Alligator mississippiensis: one gene and its partners. The protein of the gene in region 3 purifies or fractionates together with the protein of the main gene of each other region. This does not show direct contact. Links are inferred from orthologs where the notes say so. Each region holds a gene or a part of one and is shown on either strand. Other genes may lie near its edges.

The links.
Region 1: the proteins of PRPF19 (region 3) and RPA2 purify together in Homo sapiens (affinity purification with western blotting; 4 studies listed by BioGRID, with this or other methods). This does not show direct contact. The link is inferred for Alligator mississippiensis from reciprocal best matches to the Homo sapiens genes PRPF19 and RPA2.
Region 2: the proteins of PRPF19 (region 3) and PRPF3 fractionate together in Homo sapiens (co-fractionation; 3 studies listed by BioGRID, with this or other methods). This does not show direct contact. The link is inferred for Alligator mississippiensis from reciprocal best matches to the Homo sapiens genes PRPF19 and PRPF3.
Region 4: the proteins of PRPF19 (region 3) and SF3A1 fractionate together in Homo sapiens (co-fractionation; 3 studies listed by BioGRID and IntAct, with this or other methods). This does not show direct contact. The link is inferred for Alligator mississippiensis from reciprocal best matches to the Homo sapiens genes PRPF19 and SF3A1.

The regions. Positions count from the first base shown.
Region 1 is NC_081829.1:16,844,667-16,852,591, reverse strand, and holds the start of RPA2 (replication protein A 32 kDa subunit), read left to right. Parts: upstream 1-4,917; 5' UTR 4,918-5,006; coding exon 5,007-5,022; intron 5,023-5,124; coding exon 5,125-5,222; intron 5,223-5,814; coding exon 5,815-5,916; intron 5,917-6,003; coding exon 6,004-6,117; intron 6,118-7,925. UniProt on the Homo sapiens protein: As part of the heterotrimeric replication protein A complex (RPA/RP-A), binds and stabilizes single-stranded DNA intermediates that form during DNA replication or upon DNA stress.
Region 2 is NC_081838.1:18,909,136-18,917,039, reverse strand, and holds the start of PRPF3 (U4/U6 small nuclear ribonucleoprotein Prp3), read right to left. Parts: upstream 3,005-7,904; 5' UTR 3,000-3,004; coding exon of another isoform or gene 2,917-2,999; intron 1-2,916. Other genes in the region: MRPS21 (small ribosomal subunit protein bS21m), read right to left, coding at 2,917-2,999. UniProt on the Homo sapiens protein: Plays a role in pre-mRNA splicing as component of the U4/U6-U5 tri-snRNP complex that is involved in spliceosome assembly, and as component of the precatalytic spliceosome (spliceosome B complex).
Region 3 is NC_081825.1:177,221,401-177,228,627, reverse strand, and holds the start of PRPF19 (pre-mRNA-processing factor 19), read left to right. Parts: upstream 1-4,224; 5' UTR 4,225-4,597; coding exon 4,598-4,616; intron 4,617-7,227. Other genes in the region: TMEM109 (transmembrane protein 109), read right to left, coding at 1,157-1,259, 2,976-3,241, 3,395-3,443. UniProt on the Homo sapiens protein: Ubiquitin-protein ligase which is a core component of several complexes mainly involved pre-mRNA splicing and DNA repair. Required for pre-mRNA splicing as component of the spliceosome.
Region 4 is NC_081833.1:27,737,860-27,745,021, forward strand, and holds the start of SF3A1 (splicing factor 3A subunit 1), read right to left. Parts: upstream 3,013-7,162; 5' UTR 2,909-3,012; coding exon 2,846-2,908; intron 1-2,845. Other genes in the region: CCDC157 (coiled-coil domain-containing protein 157), read left to right, coding at 3,241-3,488, 6,039-6,210, 7,097-7,162. UniProt on the Homo sapiens protein: Component of the 17S U2 SnRNP complex of the spliceosome, a large ribonucleoprotein complex that removes introns from transcribed pre-mRNAs.

The DNA of each region.
Region 1 (7,925 bases), on a different chromosome or scaffold from region 3:
AGCAGCATCTGGAGACCTAAGAATAAATCATACCAAACAAACTTGATCTCCTTCTTTGACAAAACAGCTAGCTGGTGGATGAAGGGAGTGCTGTGGACATAACACACCTGGACTTCAGCAAGACCTTTGACAAAGTGCTACATGACCTTCTCATAAGCAAATTGGAGAAATGTGGGGTGGTATAGCTACTACAAGGTGGATGAGCAACTGGCTTAATAGCTGGAAGCAAAGGGTAATTATAAATGGATCCATGGCTGAATGGCAGGAGGTTTTGAGTGGAGTCCCAAAGGGGTCTGTCTTGGACCTGGTGCTGTTCAATGTGTTTAGTAATTATTTGGATCCTGGAATAAAGATATTCTTGAGCAGTTTTGGAAACAATATTGACATTTGCAAACTGGGAAGGATTATAAACACACTGGAGGGCAGGAGTGCAATTCAGAAGGATCTTGACAGACTAGAAAGCTGGGCTAGAGCCAACAGGATGGCCAGTGCTGACAAATGCAAGGTGCTACACCTCACAGAGAGTAATCAAAAACAGATACAAAATGGGTGACACCTGGCTGCATGGCAGCACTAGGAAGAAAGATCTAGTAGTCTTGGTAGATCACAAACTCAACATGAGTCTACAATATGACACGTTAGCTCAAAAAGGATGCTTTAGGCTGCATCAATAGGAGCATTAGGTGCAAGACATGAGGTGATAGCACCTCTTTATGCAGTATAGTTAGGCCTCACGTAGAGTACTTTGTGCCATTTTTGGTTCCATATTTTAAAAAGGACTTGAAGAAGACAGAGAGGGTCCAAAGGTGAGGGACAAAAATGAAGAAGAGCTTGGCAGGCGAGTCACACAAGGAGAGATTGAAAGAAATAGGCATGTTCAGCCCATGGAAAAGGCATATAAGAGGGGACATGATGTCAATCTTAAAATGTCTGAAGGGCTGCCATAAAGAAAAGGAAGAGCACCTCTTCTCTCTTGTTGCAGAGAGCAGGATGTGGATTAATGGCTTGAGGTTGCAGCAAAGTAGATTTAGATTGGATATCATGGGAAACTTCGTCACTGTGAGAACAATAAGGCACTGTCTGGGGAAGCTGTGGAATCTCCATCACTGGAGGTTTTCAAGAAGGGGTTGGATAAGCATTGCTCTGGGATGATCTAGGTATAGCTATATGTGTTCTGTAAATAACAACAGTTGGAAACCCAGGAGCCCTTCCACACAAGATGTCAGGGATCATGAGAAAAGCTGTGCATCCCAGAGCAGTTGGAAATTGAAGAGGACAATGCTCAGCAACTGGAGAAGGTTATGGAGCAGAATGGATGGTATTAGGATGGATGGTAATAGGATTTTACCATGCTTCTAGTCTTTACTGGTTGCCACAGTGGGCCAGAAAGGAATTTTTTCCCACCTGTGCTAGTCGTATGAGATTTTTTTTTCTTTTTATGTCTTCTGCAGAAGCATTGGTGTTGGCTGCAGCCAGGGCTGGGGATTTTAATAGCCCACCAGTGTTCCTTCTGGGACTAAAACTTGGAGGTTCCTGGCTAGAGGGGTCTTGCCATTCTTCTCAGGATCTCACCACATTTGAAAACAGGGAGGACTTTTACCCCATGGTCAAATTGGTACGACCTAAGTGGGGTTTGCCTTCCTCTGTAGCAAAGGGCATGGCCCTCTTCCTTGGATCTCTCAAGTGAATTTTAATAACTCTTCCATTTTGATAACTCCTGTGGACTGACCTGTTCTTGCAGCCCAGCCCAGTCCGACCCAATGAGTCTGAAGTTGTTTCTTTATTACCAGTTCCTTCTTCCCAGTTCCTTTTACAAAACTAATCCTTACACAATTAAAAGTTGTTACTAATGAATTATACAAACTGAAGAGCTAGGATTTAATCAAAAATAAATATTTACTAATTAAAATGTAAAATAATATCATGTATCAAGGACATAGCCTTGAAAAAAGAACTGAGATTACACTGGGATTATGGGCCAAAATCCTTTCTGGGTTACCCCAAATCACATGTCTCGTCAATCACGGTACACTTCTAATAAGTCTGAGTTGCACACTGCCCAACCTAAAGATTGGTATCTGCGTGCTGGGCTGACTACTGACAGCCCCTCAGGCTTCAAGAAGGAGCTGGGTTTGGGCTAGGATTATGAGTGAAAATCCTTTTTGGGTCACCCCAAAACACACCTCTCCAACATCAGGGGACTCTCTCAAAGATGCTGGGCAGGACCCTGCCCAACCTGAAGCTTGGCTCCTTAATAGCAGGCCCCCAGGCCTGGGATTATGTATGGAAATCCTTTTTTGGGTCACCCAAAACCACATGTCTTTGCCATTGTGTGTGGGGGGAGGGGGGGTAAGGCCCATATGTTGCTGTTTTGCCAGGCACTAGATGGAATTAAGAATAGCTGCATACAAATATAGGGGTTTTACACCAACTTTTCAAATTTACCTTGAGCCCCCACCCAGAAACTTGGTTAAATAACTTTGAACTTGGTGTTATAATGTAAACAAACCTGCCCACTCGTAAGCAAATTTAAATTAAAACAGATTTATTACAAGGGAAAAGGGGAGCAATACCTTAACGATTAACCTTTAACTGTAGTTCAGTATTGATCAGTCATAGTCTTGACAACCCAACCTGGGGAGCTACCACCTAGCCGTCCCTGGGGAAGACAGTCTCACCCGGGGCTGCCATCCAGGGACTCTACCACCTGCACCAGCTTAGTAGTAAGTGCTGGGTAGGGAGATCCCCACCAAAGGCCCTGCCATGCTTCTCCTGAGGCTCTACTACATATGCCAGCCAAAGTATCAAGGGCTAGATAGGGAGGCCCGCACAGGAGTTACTTGCGCTCTGATGCTGGAGAGAGGTGTTAGGGTGCAATGCTAGGCAGCACTGCTGTGGATGCCACCTCCAGGGTTCTCCATCACTCCGCCAGGGAGCTCCATCACTGCCAGGGGTCTCTGCCACTCTGCTGGGGTTTCTGTTACTCCTCCAGGCTGCTGGTTTGACGGGCATCCTCTCTGCATATTAATGAGGGGTACGCTGATAAGGGATAGACAAAGTTGTCAGTATGGAACATAACCTTAGTCAAATGTGACGAATATAATCAGAGATACGTGTATATGCAACTATGAATTTTTTAATACATATCACTATGAACATGGAACCTACTTGAATTACTTGCAACATTATTTGACTTCTTGGTTCTGGTTTAAACCATATTAAAAATTACACTTTGGTTTTTCTTCTTCGGTTTTTCATATTAAACATGCAACAGTCTTCTAAGACAGAGCTATAGGCCATTATGAAGATTTTGAGGTAAGCACCTGTCATGTCTTTTCACCATGAACGGGTGAGGTTATTAGTTTCGCAGATCTTTTTTCCTACTTTGTGCCTGTATATTAGTTAAGTAAAATAAAGCACAGTTATGTAAATTGCTTTCTGACAGTGAAGCAAATATTATAAATTTTCTTTCCTTCCTTTTTTTCTCATGGAAATATATGATTTGTATATAAACCCACACCAATTTTTCCAAATGTAATTTCTTTCTGTATTTACTTGAATCCAAGACAAGTTTTTTCCCCTCATTCAACATGGGGAAAAACATGCCTCATCTTGGATCTGAGTACCAGCACTCTGTCTCCAGCTATGTCAAGGACTGGGCAATAGTACAGGTCAGGGATCAGGCAGGGGATGGGGCAGCAGCTTTCATGAGCAGCGCACATGAAGATCAGCTGAGGAATGGGGCAGCTGTGTGGGTGGATCGGGCATCAGCATGTGCATATGATCGGCCAGAAGCAGCATGTGTTGGGAACTGGGCAACAGAACGCATGGGGGCGTTGGGAAGCAGCAGGTGTCATGGGTAGGAGCAGCCGTACACATGGGGAAGTGGGTAGGGTACTGGGCAGTAGTGCGCTTTGGGATTAGGAGGCAGCAGATCTTGGGGCCTGGGCAGCGGCAGAGGTGGAGAACAGCATGTGACGGGGATCAGGCGGCAGGGTGGGTTGGGAATTGGCGGGGGTCAGGTGACTAGGGCCCAGTGGTGAGTTGTGGATCAGGGGACAGGTGGCAGGGGTGCGGGCACGGGGGTCAAGTGGCAGGGGAGCAAGGTGCAGGGGCAGGCTCCGTGCCTCTCCCCCTCCATAGCTGAGGACAGATTTAAAACAACCCTCCAGTAATCAGATTCTATACATGGGAAATGACAGCCAGTTATAGAATGATGATATGTTCTAAATTTCCACATATGGAATTGGCTTACTCGGGGTTAAAGCATCCTACATTCAAAACCATCTTGGATTCAGGCAGATCTGGTATTAATTGCAAAATAAATCATCCTTATCAATGCGTAACATTCCATCCAATAGCCCAACATGGAAGATAGCTGAAAACACCGTATTAGCACAGCTCTTCAGTGGCCACCAGCAGGCAGGCTGGCTCGCAAACCCTGAGCCGTGGGTCGGGCACTGCCCTGGTCAGTTATTGAGACGTGTCCCCTAGCTGCAGAGCCCTGTGGCTCGAGTTGATTCGAAGTATTTTGCCCCATAATCCCAGCCCTTTATTCGAGGGTTTGTACTTGATGCATTACATTTTACATCTTTATTAGTCAATTCGACTTTCTGATAAAACCCCAACTGCGCAGCCCCCCTACTTCGTTGCTCACAACCTCTACCGCTGCAAAGACTAGAGGACGGCCCAGGACCCGAGAAGACCGATCCAAGCATGCAGCGGCGCGGCCCCACGCAGCACCAGCCCCGCCCCGCCCCGCCCCGCCCCCAGCGCCACAGGTGAGCAGGGTTCGGAGCGGCCCCGCCCCCACGCGGAAGTCACCGTTCTACCCCTGTGATGTCACACTTCCGGTTTGAACCCGGACATAGCTGGGAGGTCAGCGCCGTGGGAGCTGATTGGCCGGCACGTTGGCGGAGCGGGAGCGGCGCGCTCGCTGATTGGGTGGCTGCGTGCGGCGCGCCGGCGGGAGCTGCGGGCCGCGCGGCGCTGCGCTGTTGTCCGCCATGTGGACGAGCCACGGTGAGCGCAGCTGGGCCGGGGTGCGGGGCCAGGGGGGCGGGACTGGTGCGGGTGCGGGTCCGGGTCCGGGTCCGGGGTAACGCGGTGCTGCGCTCCTTCCAGCAGGGTCCGAGAGCGGCGGCGGGCTGTCGGCGGGCGGAGGATACGTGCAGTCCCCGGGCGGCTTCGGCTCCCCGGCCGCCACCCAGGACAAGAGACCGGTACGTGCCCCCGCGCGTGCCCGGGCATGGGCCCCCCGCTCCCCGGGCATGTCTGGCAGCTGCCTGCGGCCTTGGCCTGTGCTGCAGGCAGAAGGCTGAGCATTTGAATGCTCCTTAATGCTGCCGTTGCTACTAGCAGGTTTCAGACCTAACTGGGAGCCGTGCGGAGCGTAAACTCACTGGAAAAGCGTTCTTGCCTTACGCGGATTTTTGTCGGAAGACGACCGGGGTTTTGCTCATGTGGTAGCGGTGCCTGTAGCGCCCGTGCCAAGTACATGTTGCATGACAGGAGAGGTCGGTGCGTGGGCTGGTCTGGGTGGCTGTTTCTCTGCATGCAAAGATCAAAATGTGATTCGAAGCGTGAGGAAGATCTTGCGAGCGGTCATCAAGCACCAGGAAATCTAGAGAGGTGCGAGCCCTGTTCCTGGCAGCTCTCGAGCGCAGGTCGGACACAGCGCTTGTCTGGGACGGCGTTGGTAGGGTTTGACAGCTTTGAGGAGGGGGTTGGACCAAATGACCCTTGAGAACCCTTCCAGACTCTTTTTTTTTTTAATGGTTTTGTTTCTCTGAGACTCTCCATTCCCTCTTGCAGAAGTCCCGGTCCCAGAACATCGTGCCGTGTACAGTGTCTCAGTTGTTTTCTGCTCAGCAGGTGGATGAAACGTTCCAGGTCCGAGATGTAGAGATTTCACAGGTAGGAATCGGATCTGGAATGGGAAAAGCTTCAGAATCGACAGGAACCTACATCACAAAGTAACTTTTTTGTCTGCATCTCTTCTAGGTCCTTATCATGGGGCTCATCAGACAGGCAGAGAAAGCACCGACAAACATTCTCTACAAAGTGGATGATATGACTGCAGCCCCTATGGATGTCAGACAGTGGGTTGATACTGATGTAAGCACCAGGTTGAGCTTAGGATTTAAGATAAGGGGGCATTTAAGTATTTAATTTTTATCCGTCTTTTCGGGTCCAAAGAAGTAGTATTTACCTTGTAATGTAATACTAATTCAGCTGAGTACAGGGACTTTTTTAATTGGGCCTCTTATTAAATGAGCATTGGAGAATTCTTTGCCTACCCTGTCAGATAGTCTGCTTTCGTATTCAGCATTTAGTTCCCTTTTTCTAAATGCCATAGGAACTGTGGCATGTCAATACCCTAGTAGAGTCCTTAATAGATAATATGCCTCTTTTGGTACATTCATAATATGACATGCATATACCTAGACAAGCATCACTCTAACTGGAATCCCTGCATTTATGGGGGCTGCTCTTCTATTCTTCACTTCCTCTTCAGTTCTGCAGCATTCCATACGTCTCATTAAAAATGTTGTCCTTTCAATATTTTCAAAGTTATTTCATAACTGAATTGAAGAGGTCGCTGAGTCAAATCCTGTTTTGCCCAAAGATAACTAATTGTTGCTTATACATCCAAATCTAGCTATGGAAGAGATGTTTTGTGCCACTTGTGGACACATCCCAGCACAGGCAATCTGCTTCATTTGGCAACATCTATTTCTAGCCTTAGTTAGAGGGTGCTTTGCTCATTGGCTTAGTGAGATGGGCACTGCCATGGAGGGGTAAGTGCCATAGGTTCTGGTCCCTGTTTCTGTCCCTGGTGGTGTTACTCCATTTTCTTAAATTTAGTAGTTCATGGGTAGAATGGATAGATTGCAGCGCGGGGAGGGGAGGTGTGCAAAATAAGATGCGTCATTAGTTTCCTTGGATTCTCCCACACTGCTATAGTAATGCACATCGCCTTTCCCTAATATTTTAGGGATGTGTAATTGAAAGCTAACAGTCTAACCAAGCTGAGTATATTTGAGTGTGTGTACCATTCCGTTGTAGCACTGTATTGAGATGCCGTGCTTGCTCTGTGCATGCCACCAGGATTTGTCCACCTTTAGCATGGCACTGAGCATATGCTAATAAGTATCTCGGAGGCAGAGCTTATTGATGGAGACACAACACTGTGCTATGGCAGTTATGCTGCTTTGAACTTTGGGTCATGTCCAGATGAGCAAGGGCATGCACTTGCAGCATCACAAATAGTAGTGGCACAAAATTGTGCTGCTACTCTGTGCCACGGTGCACACCCTTACACCTGTGCTTTGTGAGGGACAAATTGTCCCGCTTCAGGCAAACTGCTCTTTCCTAACTCTTCCTGACTCCTGGTGTGCTGGACCAGCTGGGGCACAAATAAAATAGTGGAGATGCTCTAGCCAGCAGCCAAAGCATCTCCCTGAAGGGCCAAGCTTCTGTTTGTTCCAGTGCATGCTGCTATAACGCGTGTCACACCCCTTTTTTTCCGGTGCTGCTTTTTTATTTATTTATTTATTTATTTTTTTGCTACTGGGAAATCCTGGTAGCAAACTTTTGTCCCTCTGCTGCAGATTTACAGCTCAGGGCACATTTTAACCTTCACTGTGTGCGTGGTTTTTGGCACCACAAACCACAGAGGAAATAGGCCCACTGCTTGGCATCATAATTCACCAATATAGACACACTTTGAGACCTTCATTTGCCTGTACTTAAAATTTGCTAACTTCAAAAGGTGTCCTGTACTTGCTCCAAGACAGCTGACCACGCTTGTGGTTATATCATTGTATTTGTAGTAAGATGCTATAATAAAATTTGTTCCTCTTCTGTGGTATGAATTGTGTACATGAGTTAGGGTTATAGTTCTACCCAGTGAACAAACAAAA
Region 2 (7,904 bases), on a different chromosome or scaffold from region 3:
TGGGGAAGTTGAGGCACAGAGACAGAGAGGCCAATTCCACCTCTCTCTTCCAATCAACCTTCTCTTATTGACACAAGGGGAACTCTTGAAGGCTCAAAGTCCACCCCATACCAGAGCAGGGTTATTCCCTACAGCTTACTTTCCAGCGCACTGACCTCATTAATTTCAAGTGACGACAGTACCTGAACCTGCAAGCCAAGATCTCAGCATTAGGAAACACTTCCTGCTATTCAGCTGGAGTTCGTCCAGTCATTCCCACCCCTTCCTTTCCAGTGAGAACAGCTTGTACTGCTCTAAGCAACTCCCCTTGCCTCTTCCTTTTAATGACCTGCAATACAGGTCACCCTGGACAGGCTTATGAGGTGGGTGGACATCAACGTGATGACATTCAATACAGAGAAATGTAAAGTGCTCCATCTATGGAGAAATAATCCCCAGCACACTTACAGACTTGGCAGTGCTATGCTTGCCAGTACCACAACTGAATGAGACCTGGATGTTATGGTAGACAACAAAATGAACACAAGCCACAAATGCGATGCTGTAGCTAGCAGAGCTAATCAAACACTGGCATACATCTACTGAGGCATCTTGAGCAGGGCAAAGGATGTCATCCTCCTGCTCTACTCAGCCTTGGTGAGACCACAGCTGGTGTACTGCGTCCAGGTCTGGGCGCCGCACTCCAGGAAGGAAGTGGAGAACCCTGAGAGTCCAAAGGAGAGCCATGTGCATAATTAGAGGCCTAGAGACCAGGTCATACGAGTAGAGGCTGAAAGACTTGGGGCTGTTCAGCCTGGAGAAGAGAAGACTCAGAGGGGACTTGGTGGCAGCCTATAGGTATATCAGGGGAGAACATCAGTGCCTGGGGGAGCAACTATTCACCAAGGTCCCCCAGGAGAGGACAAGAAATAATGGGCACAAACTGATTGAAGATCGCTTCAGTCTACACATAAGGAAAAACTTCTTTACAAGTCGGGTGCCGAGGGTTTGGAACAGGCTCCCTCCAGAGGTGGTGTAGTAACCCACCCTTGCAATCTTCAAAATACATCTTGACACACACCTTGCTGGGGTATCCGATTCCAGCAGTCTTAACTGCCTAAGGGGCTGGACCCGATGATCTGTAAGTTCCCTTCCAACCCCTAATGACTATGAAGCTATGTTTCTAATGTTCCCCTCAACTGATTGCCAAAGGGAGTCATCCTATTGCAGACCTCCAGTACTGTCTTGATTATGAGGAGACATTGCACATTGTACAATACTGTATTTCCTCACAAATCACACCCCACCCCCAAATCAGACATGCATCTTAAGGCTGAATTAAGGGGAAAAAAGGTGCTTCCAGAGTCAGGGCTGAATCCTGAACATCACTGCTCAGCCACAGCTACATTTTTAATCTTCTTGCACCTGCTACTGAATTAGCAGCAGCTTCTGGCAGCTTAGTTAAAATTAACTGTGACACCAGAGAAAGAAGCAGAGCTCCAGCAACCATTACAGTGTCTCCATGCTTCTATTCTGACACAGAAACCAGCTTCCCTTCTTAAGACACCCACTCCGCTTTTGGAGAGCTGCTTCTTGGGAAAAGGACATGTGCAGCATGCAAACAAATACAGTATTAGGTAAAACAGCTTTTCCCCTGAATAAAAATCCGTAACTACAGATAAAAAAAACAAACCTTGAATTGCTGCTGCCCCTACAAAATGCCAAAGGAGACTCAAACTGCAGCAGAAAGGACCCAAAAGGTTAAATGCACTAAATACACCAAAACGAAAACTGCACTGGAAACAATAATTCTGACTTGTTTTTGTTTTTTTTACTGCACAAAAATACTACAAGGAAAAGAAAAAAAATCAGACCAGGCTGAGAAGCCTGGATACAGCCAGAGACTGCAAATAAACCAAGTGCCAATTGTAGTAGGGTCCTTCAGAGGCCAATTTATAATCAGAGCAATACAGTGTAGCTGTTAGATATGAACATTACCTTTTCCACCCTTGAAATGTAACATGAACATTATTTTTTCCACCCCTGAAATGTGACCGATACATTTAAAAGTTAGCGTCTGAATTTATGAATGGTTCAGATCCTCATTGCTGTGACCTGACAACACCCACTGGGAAGACGGGCAATGCTGGGTGAAGCTGTGAGACCGTGGTTGCTTCTACATCCATTCTGAGCTCAGATTCGCTGGGCTTCATTTCGCTGAAGCTCAGTTTTATTGCTTTGGGGTCACAGGGAGTTCTTTGCTGAGCTTGGAGGGCCTGTCATGATCAGAAGCCAATTTTCTTCAGAGGGTAATCACAGATCATAGTAAAAGCAAGCCAGAATGTGGTCTCTTTGTCTAACCTCACTAGACTGAACCCTGCTAAACCCAGCCAGGTTTCTCTTGATCCCCTCCGGGTGACGCATAGAGGGGAACAGACAACCCAGACTCATCAACTTTTGAAAAATGGCCCCTCTGACTTCCCTGTGTCCTCGTCTCCTTCGTCATATAGAAGGAAGAAAAGAATCCAGTGTCCCAATCCCGAATCTACTGGGCTAACCACTAGAACACAAGACTGATGGTGCGACACACTAACAAAACCCCCCTGCCTGCACGAGTGCCAAGAACATGACTGGTTCATACATAGGGGGTTAGGTCTGTGTTGTGCCAGGGCTGACAGTAGCCTTACGTAGAGTTTAGATGATGGATTGTATAGAATGGCTGGGACAGGACTGATCCTGCCTCAGGACTAGATGTGACCCCTGGAGCTCCCTTCTAACTCCACTGCTCTAGGGGGGGATTCTTTGCTTTAAGAGCATGACATGAAATCCAAGCTGCAGCTCAAGTACCAGCAGAGGGGGTTCAGGGAGGAATCCTTCGGCTCCCTGTTAAAACACAGCTGCCAACAGGGCCCAGCAAAGGCGGCCACTGCCTCTTACTTGTTCAGTGACCTATATGCCGCCTCCACATCCTTGTTCTGCACCATCACTGTCCGGGCAATGAATTTCAGGTGACTCGCCATGGCGGCTGTGGAGGCTGAGGCTCAGGAGGCACCGGATCGTGACTGGTCTCCACTGCACCACAAGCGGGGACCTAGAAAGGTGGGGAAAGAAAGCCACAGACTTAGACTCTTAGACAATGAGGGTGGGACGGGAGCTCGGGAGGTCACATCTAGTCCAACGCCCTGCTCCAAGCAGGACCAGCCCCAACTACATCATCCCAGGCAAAGCTTTGTTCGAACCAGGCTTTAAAAACCTCCAAAGACGGAGACTCCAACACCCCCGGGGGGAACCCGGTCCAGCGCTTCACCGCCCTCCTCGGGAGAAACTTTGTCCTAATATCCAACCTTGACTCCCCCTGCTGCGACCGGAGCCCATCGCTCTTTGTCTGCCGCCTGCCCCCACTGAGACCAGCCCAGCTCCGTCCTCTTTGCAACCCCCTGCAGGGAGCTGAAGGCTGCTGTTCAACCTCCTCAGTCTCCTCTTCTCCAGACTAAATCAGCCCAGGTCCCTCAGCCTCTCCTCACCAGTCCTGTCCCCCAGCCCCACAGACACTTTCCTTGCCCTCCGCTGCACTCTCTCCCACGGGTCCACATCCCTCCCAAAACTGGACCCCGGGCTCCAGATGTGTGTGGCCTCGCCAGCGGGGAGCCGCCCTGCAATGAGCTGGCCGCTCCCGCTCATGCACCTCCATTGCCCCTGCCTGCGCCCAGCGCCCCCCCTCACCCCCGCCTCCTGCGCCCTGCCGCCCCGGGGCTGCTGCAGGGCTGGGGGCACTGCCCCTTTGCGGGGAGGTGTCTCGGGGGGACCACGCTCACCCCGTCTCGCGCCCCCCAAGGTCCACCGGGGTCACAGGCGCCGCCACCGGAAGCGGAAGTCGCGCCGTCCCGCCCACTTCCGGGCGCCATGGCAACCGGGCCCACGGGGTTCTGGGAGGGGGGAGTCTAGGGCGGGGGCGGGTAAGAGGAGGAGTGGGGGTACTTGGAGCAAGAGGAAGGGCTGGGGGTAAAAGGAGGGGGTGGGCACTGGGGCAATATCAGGGGGATAAAAGGGGGGGTGGGGGCACTGGGGAAAGAGGAGGGGGCAGGGGGCAAAAGGAGCGTGTGGGAGCCTGGGGGCACTGGGGTAAGAGGAGGGGGTGGCGCAGGGGGTGCTGCCTCGGCCCATGTCAAGCACCCACTGCCCCCCTTGGGCACTGCCTGCACGGCGCCCCCTTCCTCTGCAGGCAGGGACCAGGGCGATGCCCCCCGCCCTTGCTGAAACGAGAGCAGCCTGGCCAGGCCCAAGCGCTCCGCCGTCACGAGCCTGGCCCCGAAGCAACCAGCTGGGCTGCCCGTTTTTCGGGGGGCTGTCTGTTTCCCATACCATGCTCTGATTCCACCTTTGTGTCATTTCCTTCATCCCCCCGGGCTAGATCCCCATTGCTGTTTAAGCAGAAGCAGAGAAGATTGCAGCATGGCATGATCCCCTGGCTCCGGGAGCTGGGGCTTTAAGGGAAATACCCGCTAGGGGGAAATCGTGGAAGAGTCAGGCTGGCAGGGCCCCGAGGAGGCCGCAGCCCCCTGCTCAAGGCAGGATCGGCCCCGTCTAACCTGTTCTTGGAAACATCCAAGGATGGAGATTTTGCCACCTCCCTCAATAGCCTGTTCCAAATGTGGCAGGCCAGCCAAGCCTGTTGAAACCAGCCCAGATCTTTACAGCAGTGAGAGACTGATATTTGCACACCAGTGTGGGATTACACCATCAAGCCAATCCCATATTTCAGCATAGTCTGCACCTCCGTGCAGGAGGTCCTGCAGGTGGCATGGGTGTCCCAATTTGTCCTGGCATTGGATCATTTTTGTGTGTCAAGGGGCAGGGCAGTTGAATCAAACTCCTCCCGATGAGTGATCCAGGGAGCCACCTACATTTCAGTGACCGGGTCACGGCATGACACATGAATTAGCCAGCAGTGCCCCAGAGATGAAAACAGAGGGAGCCAGGAAGTGACAGGAAGGTGAATGCACTGGGCAACCAGGTAGGACAGATTAGATGTGACTTTGAGCAAATGAAAGAGAAGCGCACGCAAGATGCCAGACGAGGTTTATTTATTTCCCCTCAGGAGTTCTGCCAAAAGTCAGACGTCGGTACAGCGTGATTCTCTGCTGAGCTGGGGAGCAAAGAGCGTTCTGCTTGTTGAAGACACGGGGCAGCAGGCACAAGTAAATGCACTATAAAAGGCAGGTTAGATAATCACTCTGTCAAGGAGCATTTATGATCAGGGCAGGGTTTGCAGTTGGGGCTTCTGAGTTCCCTTCCCAGCTCTGGCCCTGAAGGCATGTCATCTCCCTGGTGCTCTGTATCCCTACAGGAAAACAAGGTCAAATAACCCTAACCCTACCTGGGGGCTGGAAAGCCTCATTCACTGCCCTCTGTAAAGTGTTTTGAGATCTCTCATAAAAGGCGCATCTGCTGAGCAGCACGGAGAGGTCACATTATCTGCCACTGCCTGTTCATCAGACCCACTCTACCAAGCCAGTATTTAATGTATCTGTCAGGGGGAGGTTACCAGCAAGACTAGGATGCCATGAGACCAATGCTGGTGACATACTCCCCGAGATCAATCAATATCCGATTAATAAATGGGGAAAGCCGTCATCCTCTAGAGCACTGGTGTAGCACAAAGCCCTTCCTGAGGGCCAAGGCTCGGGACTGAGAGGCGCCTGGGGAGCGAAGTGCCCTGTTTATTCACAGAACAGTGGAAGTGAAGGAGTCCCCAGGCTCAGCACCACCTATCACAGCACAGGGAAAATGGTAGCTAGTGAAGTGAGGTCCGGTTAAAATCCTCTGGGATTTTAGGAGTCCCCAGTCCCACCTCATTAAAAGCACCGGGGGAATCTTAGTTTAGCTTCAGTTCAACTCAGCACCCTGTTGCCCAGCTGTCAGCAAAAATCAGGTTAGATGTCTCACCTTGGGCTCAGCCCTGAGATTCAGCAGGGATACTATGAAACAGCCTCTCCTACCATATCCTGATGCTTCTGGGTCCTGAACCACCCTGGAGCAATGAAAGATAAAAAACATCAGAGCCTTCAAATCATCTCCAGTTGGCCTTTAGTCATTGTCATAGACTCCACTAGTTTAAATCAGGATCTCTACAATTCTCAGGGACCCCTGACCCCATCACGCATCCAAATCTGAGTCATAAGTGCAGAGGTGGGTCAGCACTTGTGGGGCTAGAACTGTTAGCTATTAAAATGTAAATGAACCCAAAATGTGCATCCATTTGTGGCTGCGAAGGAGGGAGGGAAAGGAGGGGGTGGTGGGGACACAGCAAGAGCCAGCAGCTGGGAAACGAATCTGATTGATATCCCGTTAATAATCCAGCGGCTTTTTAATGACAGACCCTGTTATTATGGGCTTTTATAAATGGGCTGTAAAAAATTCAGTAAGGCCTGAAATGCAACAGACTAGGTCTTCTGGGGTGAATGTTCCTTTATTTTAAAAGCAGTTTTTTAAAAGGGGAGAGAGGTCTGAGAACAGGATGGAGAGCCAGGATTCCTCAGTGCTAACTTTGCCGCGGTGGGGTAGAAGTTGCTGCATTTCTCTGGGTCTCAGGGTATGGCTATTCTGTGAGTCTACCACAGCCTAGCTTTAAACTAGCAAGCATGGGCATTTCTCATAGTTTGTGAAGGTAAAGAGCTCAGTGCAAGCTACCTACCTCCAAATAACCCCTCCTAGTACCCCAGCCAGCTAGTTTAAAGCTAGCTTGGATGTGTATCTCCTCTGCAAGGAAGAGAAACCCTTTATCTTTCCCCCACCTCAAAACCAGAGAAGGTAACACTTCCCAGTCTTGCAGCCAGACAGAAAGGTGGCTTGTGTTTGCAAAGTGCTTTGGAAAGTAACATCCTAAATATTATTAGTACCTGGTCAGCATTACTCTATGTTTTCACACATCCCCCCAGCTAAGACCTGCACTTTGTTTTGCAGAGGCAGATTGAAGAAGAAAAAGGATTTTTCCTTTTAACTGAATGGCTCAGAATCCATTTCTTCCTTTAAGGTCTGCACCCCAATTTTCACTTGCTAATTTTAAGGGACGGAGGTGAGTGTGGTAGGTGGGTAAATAAGGTACATGCACTAAGATGGTGTTGCACACCAGTGGTGAGAACGGGCCTGGCTGAGCTGTTGCACTCTGCTGGGTTAAAATCCACCTTAGAAGTGCCTCAGCGCAGATCTGACCAGCAGACCAGACAGATTCAGCAGGGGGCGAAGAAAAAAAATCAGCTCCTTCAGTTTTACGGGGCAAGAGATTCTTAAAAATCTCTCATTAGAGAGGTAGCACCGAACCTCAGATACCACTTACCTTGAACCACCAGCCAGGAAAGCAGCCTCTGTGGACTCCCTGTTGATTCCTCCCTTGCATCTCATGCTTGCTCAGATCACTCGTCAGCAGAGGGTTATTTTTTGTTTTTGAGACATGCTGTCAATGGAACCCAGTTTCTGCCATTTGAGGCTGCTCCCCACCCACTTCCTCCTGCCTTCAGGAGCAAGAGATTTCCGAGTCAGACTGAGGATTTGAGGAGTATGGGCTGGGCTGGGCTGGGCTGGACAGATGCTGGCTCCCCCTTGCTCTCCAGTAGCACCATCTACTTGGGCTGGGCCAAGGGGAAGTAAAAGTAGCAGCTGAGCTTGGAGGGACCAGGGTTGGGGGAGCACAAAGGGGGACATTAAACGCCTTTGCTTTGGAGAGAAAAGGTCTAGTTATCTACCTGTGTGAGTGTAAAGTCACAGAGCCCCAAATCCACTCCATAGAGGTGGAAGAGCAGATGTGGGATGTTGCCAGCTCTGACTAGGAGAGATGGTCCATAGCACATTGTCCATGGAGACTGCAAAGGATGAGCCATTTACGCCATAGGATGGACCACTCAGTCCTGGCTGGTGTGGCAACCTGC
Region 3 (7,227 bases):
TCGAGGGCTGCATGGCAGGCAGCCAGGGGCAGATAAACATGAATTTTCTATATTTTTTAGGGGCCCCGCAGGCCGGATACAATAGCCTGGCAGGCCACATCCAGCCCGTGGGCTGCATTTTGCCCACCCCTGGTTTAGCATGTGGCCCACACGCTCCTGCCTGGCCGCTACTCCAGTCCCTGCTCTGGCAACAATGGCGGGGATCTATAGACTCTCCATCCCTCCTCCGACTTCTGGTTCCTGCCCCCCAACCCTCCCTCCCACACCTGCTCTTGGGGGCTGTGCAGCACAGCAAGGGCCAGGCTGTGTGCTTGGGGAAAAAAAAGAAGCCAGGCTGCCCACACTGTGTGCTACCCCCACATCATGTGTGGCTGGGAGAGGGGTTTGCACATGTGATGGGGGGAAGGGGAGGGAAGTCAGTTCAGCTGTGTGGCAGGTAGCTCCTCCAGCACCAGGGTCCGGGGCCTGTGCTGCATGTGGTCCCTGGCTACCCAGAAGCTGGATGACTGCCCTATTTGTTGCCCAAGTGATGTTGGGGCAGGCTGCTCCTGAAGAGAGCGGCATAATGGGAGTCGAAAGGGGAGTGGTGCGGGTGGCAAGAGAGCTCTCTCCAGTGCTGGGAAGAGAAACCCTTGGAGAGAATTGCTCCTTACCAGATGGGAGCCCCTTTTCTTTATTTAGGGATAAGGATCAGGGTTAGCCCATTAAGTACTGGAAGGAAAGTAAAATTGCTCTCCCCAGATGATATGGGCTGTCAAGCCTGAGTTGACCCCTCCTATGCCACAGGCCTTGAAAGGGGAAGCTCAGACACCCTTGTCTGTTGTGAGGGATGGGACTGAGGCCCTCACATACTCCAGTGAAAGACTGGTTTTCAGAGAAACACATCTCTGCCCCAGAGACAGGGATGCGGAACAGCCTTCCCAACCTTCCACAGATGGGGCTGTGGAAGGGGGCTTCAGGGGAGTGGGCACTTAACCAGAAAACCAGAGATTTGCTTCCTGCTCTTAATTCTGCCTCTGCTGTGAGCAAGCTGATGCTTCAATTTCCCCTCCCTCCCTTTGCCTGGGCTTTTATGCAGTACCCAGCACAATGGCGCCCTGCCCTCAGGTGGGGTCTCTAGGCATTAATATCATCACACAGATAGAAAGCAACTTACCATTCATGCCAAAAGCACTAAGGATCTGTCCCATGATCTCAGATAGGATGATCAGCCCTGCAGAGATGCCATTGGAGACAATCCAGAACATGGCAGAGATGGTCTGCAGGGAAGAGAGAAATTTCAGTCCCTGCCATGTGTTCAAAGACACCAGTGGGGAGAAGGGAGACAAGACCACTTGCGTATGAGGTTTCAGGGGCCATGAGAGAGCTCTGATAGGAACCAATGCCTGGCTGGGTGCAAATAGCCCTCGCTGGTTGTAGGTGCAGCAGGAACCCACTAGACATAACTTACAGCAACCCCAAAGATGCTTTAACTCCCCCCCCACAGGGGCTGAGATGGCTTTGTACTAGGAAAAGTACAATAGTGGCCTCAAGTCTCCCCATCCCTACCTTTTGGATTTGGTGCCCAGCTCAGCTGCAATTCAGCTCAGATGGATAAGCTGTGTAACCAGTCCACCTAACAGATGGCAGAAACACCCCAACCAGAAACCAATACTGCCAGCTTCAGAGCCAGCTGGTTGGTGCTTCTTTCAACACAGTGTATGCAGACCAAACCATGGTGTATCTATCAATGAAACCAATATAAGTTGTCACATATGCATGCTCCAGCAGGGAGACCACTGTAGCAAAGCCATTGTAACCCTATCCCTGCATCCCACAGGATTCAAGTTACAACAATTTAGTTCCCTACAGAATCATGCAGACACAACAGTTATGCTGTCACAGCTGACATAAGCTGCAGAGCGGAACAACTCCTCCCCTTTTAAAACGGTTGACAGTTAAATCTGTCCACAGCCTGAGAAGTGGGTAGCTTCCTGAAGAGGTAAATCTGTGCTGAAAGCTTGTTCCCATGGGGCCAGAGTACTGTTCAGCCATCCAGCTGGCTCCATCGTCAAGGAGCTCTGCCTGAAATAAGCAGCTGATGCTTCTATCTTCTAGCCTGTCACAACAATATCTGAATGTCTATTATTCTTAGTTTTACCTAGGGAAAATGGAGGCAGTTTCAAACCAGACTCCTTTGAGAACTAAATGACCTGCCAGAAGTCAAGCAGGAAGCTGGCAGCAGATAAAGGCTTTACCCTGGGTCTCCCAAATCTCAGGCTCGGTGCCTAACCCACCAGACTACCTAGCCTCTCTACTCCTGACTTGTGCCCTTCACGGCCCCTATTAAATGAAGCCTTATGCCCCTGCTGGAGGGTGGGGGTGGGTGTGTAACTGTTACTTGCCCAGGAGATAAGCTAGCTAAGAAGCTGCAGGAGCTCATTACAGACAGAACTACAACTGGAACCCAGAGGTCTAACAACAGCGCCACATCTCAGTCACTTGGGCACATGCTGCCTTTTTTCAGAGCAGATACCTGGAGCTAAAGTGACTCAAACCTCCCTCGGTAGCAGGAGGCTTAGGGAAGCAAGGACTGGCCAGCACAAGCTGCATAAGAAATTTCAGATCAATAACTTTGCTCAATGTTAACCTTGATATATGTAGCACCCAGCTTTTATCTGGTGCTTTTAAGCCATAGCCTCAACATGCTCCACAAGGGAAGTTGGCATTATCCCCATCTTACAGATGGGGAAACTGAGGCAGGGGAAGGCAAACTGACCTGCCCAAGGTCACTCAGCAGGCCAATGACAAAACTGGAAACCATGTCTCCAGAGTCACAGTCCAAAGCTCAAACTGGACTCTCTCACTGGAGCTCTTTGAACAACTTTGGCAAAGCTTAATAGCTATTTCTCTAACACCGGCAGAGGGGGGCAAACTTTGTGCACAGAGACCTTCACCTCCACCCTCTTCCAGCCCCTTTGGAATTCCAGCCTTACCTCAGCCACCATCTGAACAGCCTCCTGCCCAATCATCTCCTCCAGGGTCTCCTTCATGGCCTGACCCAAATGGGACAAGAAGTCAGTGTGGACGGGTGCTTCTTTCCAAAGCTTGCCAGACCGGTTCTGAGCGCTGGCCACATGAAGGAAAGCGGCTGACATCAGGAGAGCAACAGCTGGTCGGAGCAGAAGCTGGCGGCAGCTCCAGGACCTGCAATCCCTTCCCGCCATCTCTCCAGCTCTTCTCTCTACACCAAGAAGCCCTGCTGAAGGAAATGAGAGAGGAGAGATGAGTAAAGTCACAGACAGTAACAAAGCTGTAGAAACCCAGGATCCTCCTGTCCTGGGGTCAGAGCTATCCTGCCCATGGGGAGGGCCACCCTGGACTGCCAAGAGGGCAAATGCACTCCCCGCAGTACCAGCATGCTCCCTTGTCAACTGAGGATCCTCCACGGGCCACTCTCTCATTACTGGCGCTTGGGCCTGTCTCCGCTCCCAACCTTTTGTGTTTCCCAACGACTGGCGACCGGAGGCAGCTCCTTGCGCTGTTCCCCAGCAGCCGGCTGCTCAGGCTGACTGAACCTGGGTCTAAGAGCAGGCACCCGCACCCACGCCACCGGCCCTTCGTTTGAGAAGAATCCCAGGAGCCAGGGGCCAAAGGTCAAGTCTGCCTCACTCCCACTTTGGGCAGTGACCTCAGTGTGGGGCCTGCAGAGATGGAAAGGACAGCTGGGCCCCCCGCAGCAGGTGGGGGGGTGACACACAATCCCTCTCCCACACGCCCTGCTCAGGCCTGCCCCTGGCGCAGTCCCAGAAGCCGACACTGGGGGGAGGCGGGGTGGAGAGAGATGCTTGGGCGCCAGTGCTGGGCGGGAGGGCGGCACCATGCGGGCCCCCTCTGCCACTGCCTGCTGTCCCCACACCCCAGCAAGCCCAAGGACGGGGTTGGGGGCGGGAGCAGGGCCTCGGCCCAGCCACGCGGGGACCGGGGGGGGAAAGCACACGCCCCCCCTTGAGAGCTCACCCCAGCGCGGGCGGGAGTAGGGGCGGGGCTGGGCTGAGGGGGCGTGGCTTTCTCAGCGGTTGGAGCTCACCCCTCACCCATGCGGTGCACGCTGGGAGCTGTAGTCCTTCAGGGAGGCAGTGACGTGAGGGGGGAAATTCGCCCAGTGAATTCTGGGAATGACGGTTGTGGGTCGGAAGCCGCCTCGCGCGCGGGGCATGACGGGAGCAACAGGTCCCACGAGGGTCTCTTAGGCGCCGCGGGCGCTCGGTTGCCACGGCAACGCGCCGCCGCCCGGGGCATGCCGGGAAGGGAGGCTGTGCTCGGTGGGATTCGCGGCCTGGCAGGCGGAACTGGTACACTGGTCCCACAGGTCGCTGGCCGCCAGTGGCAGCTCCCCGCTCCGCCTCGGGGCGGGCCCCCCAAACACATTCGCAGACGGAAGTGGTCGGCGCGGCCCTGCCGCGGGGCTTGGTGGGAGGACCAGAGCGAGAGGGACCGTCCCCCTGTCCCCGCGTCCCCCTCGTGGGCCTGGCACACACGCGCCAGAAGCAGAACCCCGTGACCCGGAAGCAGAAACCGGAGCCAGAGCGAGGCGGGCTCGGGACCAGCAGCCGCCATGGCCCTGATCTGCTCGAGTGAGTGCGGTGCGGCGCGGGGGAGCGAGCGCGGCCCCGTTCCCTAAGCGCTCCGGCCGGAGGCGCTGCCACCTTTCCCGCGCTGGAGGCTGCGGCGCGCAGCCCCCCGGGGGCGGCCGCGGGGCGGGTCGGGGTGGGGAGCGGGGCCGCCCCGCAGCCAGCGGCCTGCTTCTGGGCACCGCTGTCAGCAGGTCCCGGGGGCGGCTGCGCCCCGAGCAGGGAGAGGCGAAGCCCCTGCAGCCCGTGTCAGGCCGGAGCCGGGGGAACGGGTCTTCCCGAGCCCAGATGTGGGGATGGTCTGATCCTGAGCGCGGGGCCATGGCCCCCCTGGCCAGGAGCCTCCGGTCTTGGTCCCAGCAGGCGCACTGACACAGCCCAACCCTGGGACAACCCAGAGAGTTCAAATACAAATCTGTAGTGTACTTCTAGAGGGTTGAACCAAATCCTGCCCTTAATGTCCCCCCCACTCCTCCCCCAGCCCCCTGGGGGTCAGCCAGAGAGAGTGCAGCGAAGGGCAGTGAAAACCCGTGGCAGGGCTGGGGCATGTGACTTGTGAGGAGCTGAGGGAACTGGGTTTATTTCATCTAGAGAAGAGGAGACTAAGAGGGGATTTAATAGCAGCCTTTAACTACCTGAAGGAGGGTTCGAAAGAGGATGGAGCTAGGCTGTTCTCAGTGGTGACAGATGACAGAACAAGGAGCAATGATCTCAAGTTGCAGCAAGGGAAGTTTAGCTTAGGTATTAGGAAAAACTTTCTCACTAGGAAGGTAGTAAAGCACTGGAACAGGTTACCCAGAGATGTGGTGGAAGCCCCATCCTTGTAGGTTTTTAAGACCTGGCTAGAGAAAGCCTTGGCTGGGATGATCTAGTTGGGGATGGTCCTGCTTTGAGCAGAGGTTGGACGAGATGACCTCCTGACGTCCCTTCCAACACTCACTTTCTGTGATTCTGTCATTTTGCCCTAGGGTGAAGGTTCAGCTCATTGACCGCTCCTTTGATGTGGAAACAGTCGGGGTTGAAGTTTGGGATGTGTGGCAGTTTCCACCCTAGTTCTTTGTTCAGCTTCAGACACCCTTCCCAGATGTTCCCTCCCCTGGCCTAACATTTTTCAGCATTAGCTTGAGATCAAAAGTTAATTTTTAAGCAATACGTGATCAACATTGTCTTAGCTCAGGTATGAAAGTGCCAGAAAAACAGCTTACTTAGGGCCCTCCTACACATTCCAATTAAAGCTGGAAAGAAATCAGCTATAGAGTTGTTATAACTTTTCAAGAACTTTATGGCTGGTCTAAATGGGTTGTGCGATTAAACAGTTAATTGTGTAAATATATGTAACATGTAGCAGGGGCTACAGGAATCTGATACATTTTCCATCTTACTGTGACTTTTCCTGCTGATGGGATAGGAGAATGTCTCTGGGCATGCAGACGAGCCTCTGAACTAGTGGCTCGTGTGCATTTGTATTGTGCAGTGATTCTCAATTAGGGTGCTGTGCAACCCTGGGTTGCCATGAGTCATTGGTGTAGTGTGTTACCACTGGGGATGTGGTTTATGATTAGGGCCCCTAGGTGTGTCAGTAGTATCAATAATGATGAGGGGGTTGACATACACACCTGCCATTTGGCAAGGCACTTGGAGTCCTTCCTGGTTGGGCAGGAACAGTGTGTGTAAGTGCTGATAAAGGTACCACAGTTCCCCTGTGGTGGGTGCAGACTCCAAGGGCTCCATTGGCAGGATATTGAGGGCAAAGTGATGTACATTGCTGAGCCCAAGAGGTTACTTGTTAATTATGTAGATATGTATGTATACACATGCATGTATGTACCTACACACATCTCCCCTGCCCCCCCATATTTTTCCATAGTGAAGCTCCAAGCTCAGCAGACAGACCCCTTCTCTCTCATAGAGATGCACTAAGGGTAGGAGAAAGAGATGCTCAGCTCTTATATGATACCTGTCAATGGATCTTGCATAGCTTTACACAGAAGGGCAGTACTGTTATCCCTCTCTTACTGGCGGCGGAGTCTGAGGCACCGAGAGAGGAACGACTTGTACAGGGTCACCTGGCAGTGGCCTATAGAAGAGCTCGGATTATGACCAGCTCTTTGAAGGAGTGCTAGTTAGTGCTAGGCCATACTGCCTTCCTGGTCAGGCTCAGAAACGCAGGGTTTTCTTTGCCAGACCTGTGACTAGGTAGAATCCCAGGTACTTTGCTAGCCCCAGGACTCAGAATTGAAACCAGGTCGTCATGGAAAGCTGCTCCTACCAGTCCTTGAGGCTGGACAAAATTTCAGAAAACTTCCCCAATAGCTCTTCCTGTTCTAACCCTGAGTACTGTACTGAAGGTTTCTTGAATACAAGATAAGTCCTTTTTTTTTTTTTGTACCACATTAAGTAAACCATTTACCACTATCCTGGGCACATCTCTTAGTAATATTAGTAGGACAGGCAAACTGCTGTTGCGATCTATGGTACAGACAACACAGCAGCAGAGATCAATATGTGTGGCATTTTAGGCTCACTTGAATTAGCTTCAGCATTAACTGTCTCACCCTCTAAAGAAAGCCAAGCTGGTGGTTTGAAAGAAAATGAAGAGGCCAGTGTTTCTCTA
Region 4 (7,162 bases), on a different chromosome or scaffold from region 3:
TATAGAACCTGCAATTAGCATATATCAGTCACATCGCGGATCGACACCGATAAAAGGAAAATTAACATTAATCAGTAATCAGCTTTTTCTGGCCAGTGTAGCTGATGTTGCTAATAAATGCTGCGTCTATGTGTGCAGCCACAGCATGCACATGGCCAGGAATGCAGCCTGGCAAGCAGCGTCCAGCTGGTAAGTCGGTGGAGGGGCAGGGGGAGATAAAAGTGGTGGAGGGCAGGGCAGACCAAGGTCCTGACAGTGAGGGAGGGATTGGGGCAGGGGAAGGTACAAGGCAAACCCTGGGGCCGGAAATGGGAAGAAGCTAAGGGCAGCTCGTCTGGCAGGTGCAGGGAGGGGGCGTGAGGGGATGTGCAGCTCCCTGCCGCTGCATACACCCCAGGGGAGGCATGGGGAGTATGTGCCCCCCAGATGCTGGGCCAGGGCTGTGTTCAGGGTGGGCGGTGCTGGGAGGGGTGGCTATAGCCCACCCCATAGCCACAATGATTCAACAATCATCACCCCTCCCCGTAGACTATTGCTTGAATACTCCAAAACCAGCATTTCCTTTTTGGACACCACAATTGATATCCAAGATGGTAAAATTCAAATCACCATGTATAAGAAACCCACAGACCAACATACATATCTACACAGAACCAGCAATAACCCTAAACACACCAAGAAAGCTGTAATACATAGCCAAGCTCTCCGATGCCACTGAATTTGCAGTGAGGAAAATACCTGTGACCACCACCTCACAAATCTCAAAAGGTCCTTCAACCAACAAGGACACTCCTCCAGAGAGATAGATTGCATTTTTGCCAGGGGATTGGAAACTGGCTAATGTGGTCCCAATTTTCAAGAAGGGAAGGAAGGAGGACCCAAGTAACTATAGGCCTGTAAGCCTCACTTCGGTGCTCGGGCAGATCTTGGAGAGAATCATCAAGGAGCACATCTGTGGGGGGCCTGCAGGGGAGATCATGCTCAGGGGCAATCAGCACAGGTTCATCAAAGGCAGGTCCTGTTCATTTTGGCATCAATAATGATTCCAAGATCCTTTTCTGCCTCTGCTCCGACAGGAAGGGAGTTCCCCAGCCTGTAGGTGTGCTGCTGGTTCTTCCCCCCAGGTGCAGTACCTTGCACCTGTCAGTGTTGAAACCCATCCTGTTCTCATCTGCCCACCCCTGTAACCTGTCTAGGTAGGTCCGACTGTAGGCTATTCCTCCTTTCTAGCATGCCCACTTCCCCCCACATCTTAGTGTTGTCTGCGAATTTGAACAGGGTGTTTTTACCCCCTCGTTCAAGTCGCTGATGAAGAACAAAAAATGCAAAACCTGCCAACACATCTCCTACACTCCCACAATAACTACACCCCACAACAGAACCATCACCATTCCTAGATCTTATATCTGTACCTCCAGAAATGTTATACATCTCATCCAATGCACCAGATGCCCTGATGGAAAATATGTAAGAGAAACCAAACTGTGCACCAGAATGAACTGAAAATCTATCAAAGACAAGAATGCCCAACTACCTGCGGGGGCACACTTCTCACAGGAAGAATCACTCCCTCTCCCATCTCTCAGTTCTAATCCTCAAAGGGAACTTACAAAACACCTTCTGTAGATGAGCCTGTGAACTTTGCTTCATAAATCTACTGGATACAAAAAATCACGGACTCAATATAAACGCTGAATTTATGACACATTACAACCTGCCTGACATCTGATTCACCAGGTACTTGCCTGACCTTACCTCTTATATTCTTCTCTTCCCCCACTTTTTCTCCCCTCCCCTTCTTTTCTGCCTGTTGTCTCCCTGATTTCCTACTATTTCCTTCTTCATCGAGAGACTCTTTCTTGCCCTGTATTATTATCTCTGTAATGTTTCCCTTTGGCCTTTTCTTCTCTGCTTTCTTCCCCATCCCTCCCCTGCTTTATCTCCTGTTTCTGCTTTCTACCTATTTACATTTTTGCTACATCCTCGCACACTTTGAGCTTCTCTCATTCCTGTTTTCCTGATCTCCAACTATTGTCTTTTTCACTGACAGCCTCTTTCTCATCTTGTAGCCTGTATCACTGTAATGTCTCCCTTTAGCCTTTCCCCCCTGCTCTCTTCCCCCTCCCCTCTCTGCTTTACCTTCTGTCTTTCTAATTTCTACCTATTTACATTCTCACTGACATCCCGCCACACTTTTAGCTTCTCTCATTTCTTGGGGTCTCTACGCCTGAAGAAGAGTGACTGTGCCCGAAAGCTTGATAAGAACTTTGCTCCAACTACTCAGTTGGTCTAATAAAAGAGATTGCATCTCCTCAAAGAGCCTTGTCTGCCTATGTCCTTAGACCGACACAGCTACAACCAGCATCCCTAGTTAATATGTAATTATTCTTCATGACCCATCTCACACAGGCATCACGCCCTGTTTCTGTGAGCCGCTGCACTTCAGTGGCTCGGGATCTCCACGGGTAACATGCAGCTTTGAGGCAACAACCCTGTGCTCTGCACTGGAACAGACATCTAGTGACCTGATCATAGTCAGAGTTTGACAGAACCAAAACCAGAACACGAATCTTATTAAATCCCACGACTGTTTGTAAAAGCCTGGCACCAGCAAAAATGAGTTAAAAACCGTATAAATAGAGGCGGGAGAGGGCTGGAGGCAAGGACGAGGGGGTCAGGCACCAGGCTCAGCCCGGGATGTGCGAGGAGCTCTCAGCAGGGCTCAGGCCTCTCGTGAGCCAGCGGTGCACCCTCCCCTCCCCCTCTGCCCCCGCTGCATGCTGGGAGCGCCCCTCGAGCGCTGCGGACTCCCTGGGGAGGCCCAGCCCCCGCCTCGCGCCGGTACCTGTTTGCCCTCTGGGGGCGAGGGCTGCGCCGGCGGAAGAGCCTGCACGGGTCCGGCCGGCATGGTGCCTCCTCAGGGCCCCACCGGGCCTCGACTCGACCCGAAAAGCGCGGACACAACTACGCGCACCCAGGCCCGCACCACCGCGCACAAGATGGCGGCAGCCCCGAAGGATGCGCACGCAGCCCAACCAGCGCAGGAGATGCGCGCGCAGCCCCGTGGAAGAGGGTGAGGTGGGGGTGACGTTCCGGGGAGAGCAGGGGGCGGGATTTGGAGCGTTCTATTGCGGGAGCTGCTTCAGGGCCCTCCGAGCCTCCCCTCGGGAGGATGGTTCTGCCCGGGGCGGGGCCGCGCGGTTGCCGGGGTAGCGGGTGACGCGGGCGACCCCAGGCCCGATGGCGGGGCCGGCGGGCGGGCACATGTGCGTGGAGAGCCTGCGGCGGGACGTGACGGACCTGCAGGGCGCCATCGCCGACGTGTGCGGCCGGGCTGGGCCCGCACGCTGCCGCTCCTGGAAGTTCCCCGACCGGCTGTCGTGCGAGCTGGACGTGGTGGCGCTGCTGCAGCGCTACGACTACGTGGAGGGCGACGCCGAGCTCACGCGCCGCTCCCACGTGGCGCTTCTGGAGCTGGTGATCGACAGGTGGGGGAGAGAGGACGGGGGCTCCCGCCCGGCTCCGCACAGCGGCCCGAGCCCCGGCGTCCCCGCCCGGCAGCCGCGGCTTTGTGGGGGGCACTGCGTGGGGGCCTAGTTAAGCTGCAGGCTCTCAGCTCCGGGCGCCCCGAAGCAGCGGGTGCAGGCACAAACCGGGCCTGGGCAGCGTTGCTGGGGAGAGGCTGCCGCTCCTCCGAGATGTTGCCTGTGTCCCGGTAACGCGGTTGCCAAGCGCCGTCAGTCCCGGCCGGTTCCCGCGCCAGGCCCAGCCTCGGCTACAACTTGTACCCAGAGTTTCTGCTCCAAGAGCAAAGCTGTGAAAAAAAGCATCGAGGCCATCCCCCAGCTTCTTCTTTAAGAAGTGCTAAAACCTCGGGGCTTTGAAGTGGGACTCTGCAAGGAGGCGCCTTTGCTTTTCCTGAGAGACCCTGCCCAGATGTGGCCAAGTGACCAAGTTTGGAAAGATTCTGGGCCTCGGACAGGCATGACACTTGTGGTGCTTGCTGTAAACGGCCTCTTTGGGCTGTAAGGCTATAAAGCCCTAAGAAGTGTCCTCTCTGTTCTGCGCTGGTGAGGCCACGTCTGGAATACTGTGTCCAGTTTTGGCCCCCCAGTACAGCAAGGATGCGGACAAGTTGGAGAGTCCAGCAGAGAGCAATGGAAATGGTTTTGGGGGTTGGGGCACATAATTTATGAGGAGAGGCTGAGGGAACTGGGCTTATTTAGTTGCTCCGTGTTCTGTCGTCTGCCACCACTGAGAACAGTCCAGCTCCATCCTCTTTCAAACCTCCCTTCAGGTAGTTGAAGGCTACTATTAAATCCCCTCTCAGTCTTCTCTGCTGCAGAGTAAATAAACCCAGTTCCCTTAGCCTGTTTTGCAGTTTTCCAGCTGTGTAAATGGCCTCTTAGGCACTTATGCAGTTTGCAATTCTCTTTTCTGCAGTGTGGGCATGCAAGTGTGTGCGACTAAGCTGAGCATGCTCAGTAGTCTAAAAATAAGCTGGCAGATTTATGACTGTATGCCTGTACCTGAGCACTAGCTTTAGAAAAAAATCAGGAGGAAGCAGGACCTTCCCATGGTTTAGTCCTAATAGTTGACTGGATAAGGGAAATTGTCTAGCAAGTGGTAACTGTATATAAGTGCTTAAAAGGTCACTGACATGCTGGAGAGCTGCCATTCAGGTACACAAAGTAAAGCAGAATCTCATCTTTATCCTCAGGTGACAGTAAAAACCCTGAAAAGTTCAGTCTTACTGAGCCGGCTCCAGTTTAACTCAGCTTCTTGTGCTGACCAGATTGTGGATTTGCCATTTCCACAGAGCAACCGAGCATGCACCTTCCTCTCGGAGTTACCAGATTACATGCCTCATTCAGTACCCAGGATAGACCTATCCTGTAGGAGAATCAGGGTTGTGTAGCAAAGAAGATTGCTGTCTGTAGGACTCCTGCCTCATGTGCTGTGTAGTGATTAGTGATGGAGGTAGGGAAAATCGTTTATGGAAAGGATCAGGTACTTCAGTAAGCAGTGCCTAGAAGAAAAGTAACCATTTGGTCTTTAGAACAGTGTTTGGATACTGTTCAGTAGATAAGGCTTGAGACCACACACTGAATTATGAGGAAAAAACAGAAAGCTTACTCCTTAGTGAAGCACCAGTCAGCCTGTGTGCTGAATGAGGCAAGCATCCTTTAATAAAAAATAATATGTAGTTGTGTAATTGAGGATGATATCATAATGCATAGATGCAAGTGAGTTCATTTAAGGCTACATGGGCATCCTTAATTCTGGCATTGCCTGACTTTGTTACCTTAGCATTCTTTTAACATTCACATGTATTTATTGCAAATTGAGAGCACAAATTTAACATGGTTATATGAATGGTTTGCATTTCTGTGACTTACATTTGTTCAAAGTAAGTTATAAACTTTAACTAATCATCCCTACCTTTTGTGGAATAGACATTGTTATCTTTGCTCTGCAAATTGGGAAGCCAACGCACACGTTAACTGACTTACCTAAAGTCTCATAGAGTTTGATAGAACCAAAATTAGAACACAAATCTTATTAATCCCACTGCTGTTTCTAAAAGCCTGGCCCTAACAGTTTGGCCTTCCCAGAGCCTGTAATAGTTTTAATGAGAGCTCATTTATGAGTCACCCCCACACAGCTGGGAGGCCTAGGTACAGGGCCAAACCAGGGACTACCTCCATGTATCCCATCTCAAAGAAAACATTGCTTTGATCCGGTGCCTTTGGAGAGGACCTCAACCCTGATGCATGTTGCTGCCTAGAGTGATTCAGAATTGAGAAGGAGCGTTGCACAACTGTTCCCCTCTACATGGTTTCCAGTCTCAAAAGGCCCAGGAAGAATGGGCATATGTTGCCCATTGATGCTATCTCTATCACTTGCTTTGATGCTTTGCATATGCAAATCTGAACATACCTCTCTAGATTTGCAAGGTTGTAGCAACCTGCATGGAAAGGCCCTTTCTCCGTGTTCATGTTTATACAGCTCTAAGCTGGATTTCTTTTCTGTCAAAGGCTGCTGTTGCTGCTTCAGAGCTTCACTGGCTATGCAGAAAATCTTATTGATGAACAAGCCGTGCCTCCTCTTCAGGCAGTGGGACCCTGCATGTCCGTTGGGCTGACTGTGAGGAAGTACTGGAACAGCATGCTGAAACTGGGAGCCTTCTATCAAGAGTCTGTGGGTGAGGTAGGGTCAACCCTTACATAGGATATTGCTATATTTAGCCAAACCACTGCTCTCTCAAATCTGATATGCTGTCTCTGACAATAGTCAAGCCCTGCTGTTACACAGATGGCTGAAAAAATGTCTGACCAGTAGACCAGCTTGAATAGGGTGGCATTCATGACTGAACCTTCATTGATCAATTAACACTGAAGCACAAGATGAGCTTTACCCTCATCCAATCTTCAGAATTAGCTAAAATGGTATTAATGTATGAAAATTAGCCTGTCCTTTTTTTTTTAAACCAAATACTATATTTAACTTTTGGCTCCCTGCATCAGGGAATTCTACAGGCTATCTACACAATGCATAATAAGTACGACATTTTGTTTGTTTAAAATTTACCTTCCATTACTTTCTTCAGGTGACCCTTTTCCCATGTTATGAGGCAATGTTAACAGGAGGCCCTAATTGCTGTCCCTTTTGTAACCTAACATTCTACCTCAGTCACGCGCCCTGGAAGGCTTCTTTTTTTTCAGGAGAAATAGTCCTAGTATTTCCCAGCTCACTTCAGATGGGACTCCTCACCAGGTCTCTTAGTAACTCTGTAGTTCCTCTTTGGGTTCTTTCAATCCCTGTGATGCTTTACTGAGGTGGGGCCACTAAGACTGATTGATACTTTCCCAATGATGATGCATCAGTGCTCAGTATGAGCATTAGGGTTGTATTTCCTGCCCTTTCGTTAATAGTAGGGGAAAGGAAACTGGTATCTTGGGGGAATCATAAGTTTGCACTTTGCTTGGTTCCATTTTTTAAAGCTGGGTATCATGTTCTTGGCTTCCCAGTCCAGTGTTGGACCTAGCATTATTTACATATGACAGCATATGTCTTCATCTTTTCTCTCTGCTAGAATAAATCTAACAGAAAAGATGTCTCTGCACTGAAATCTACACTGCAGGATTTGAAAGCTGAGAAC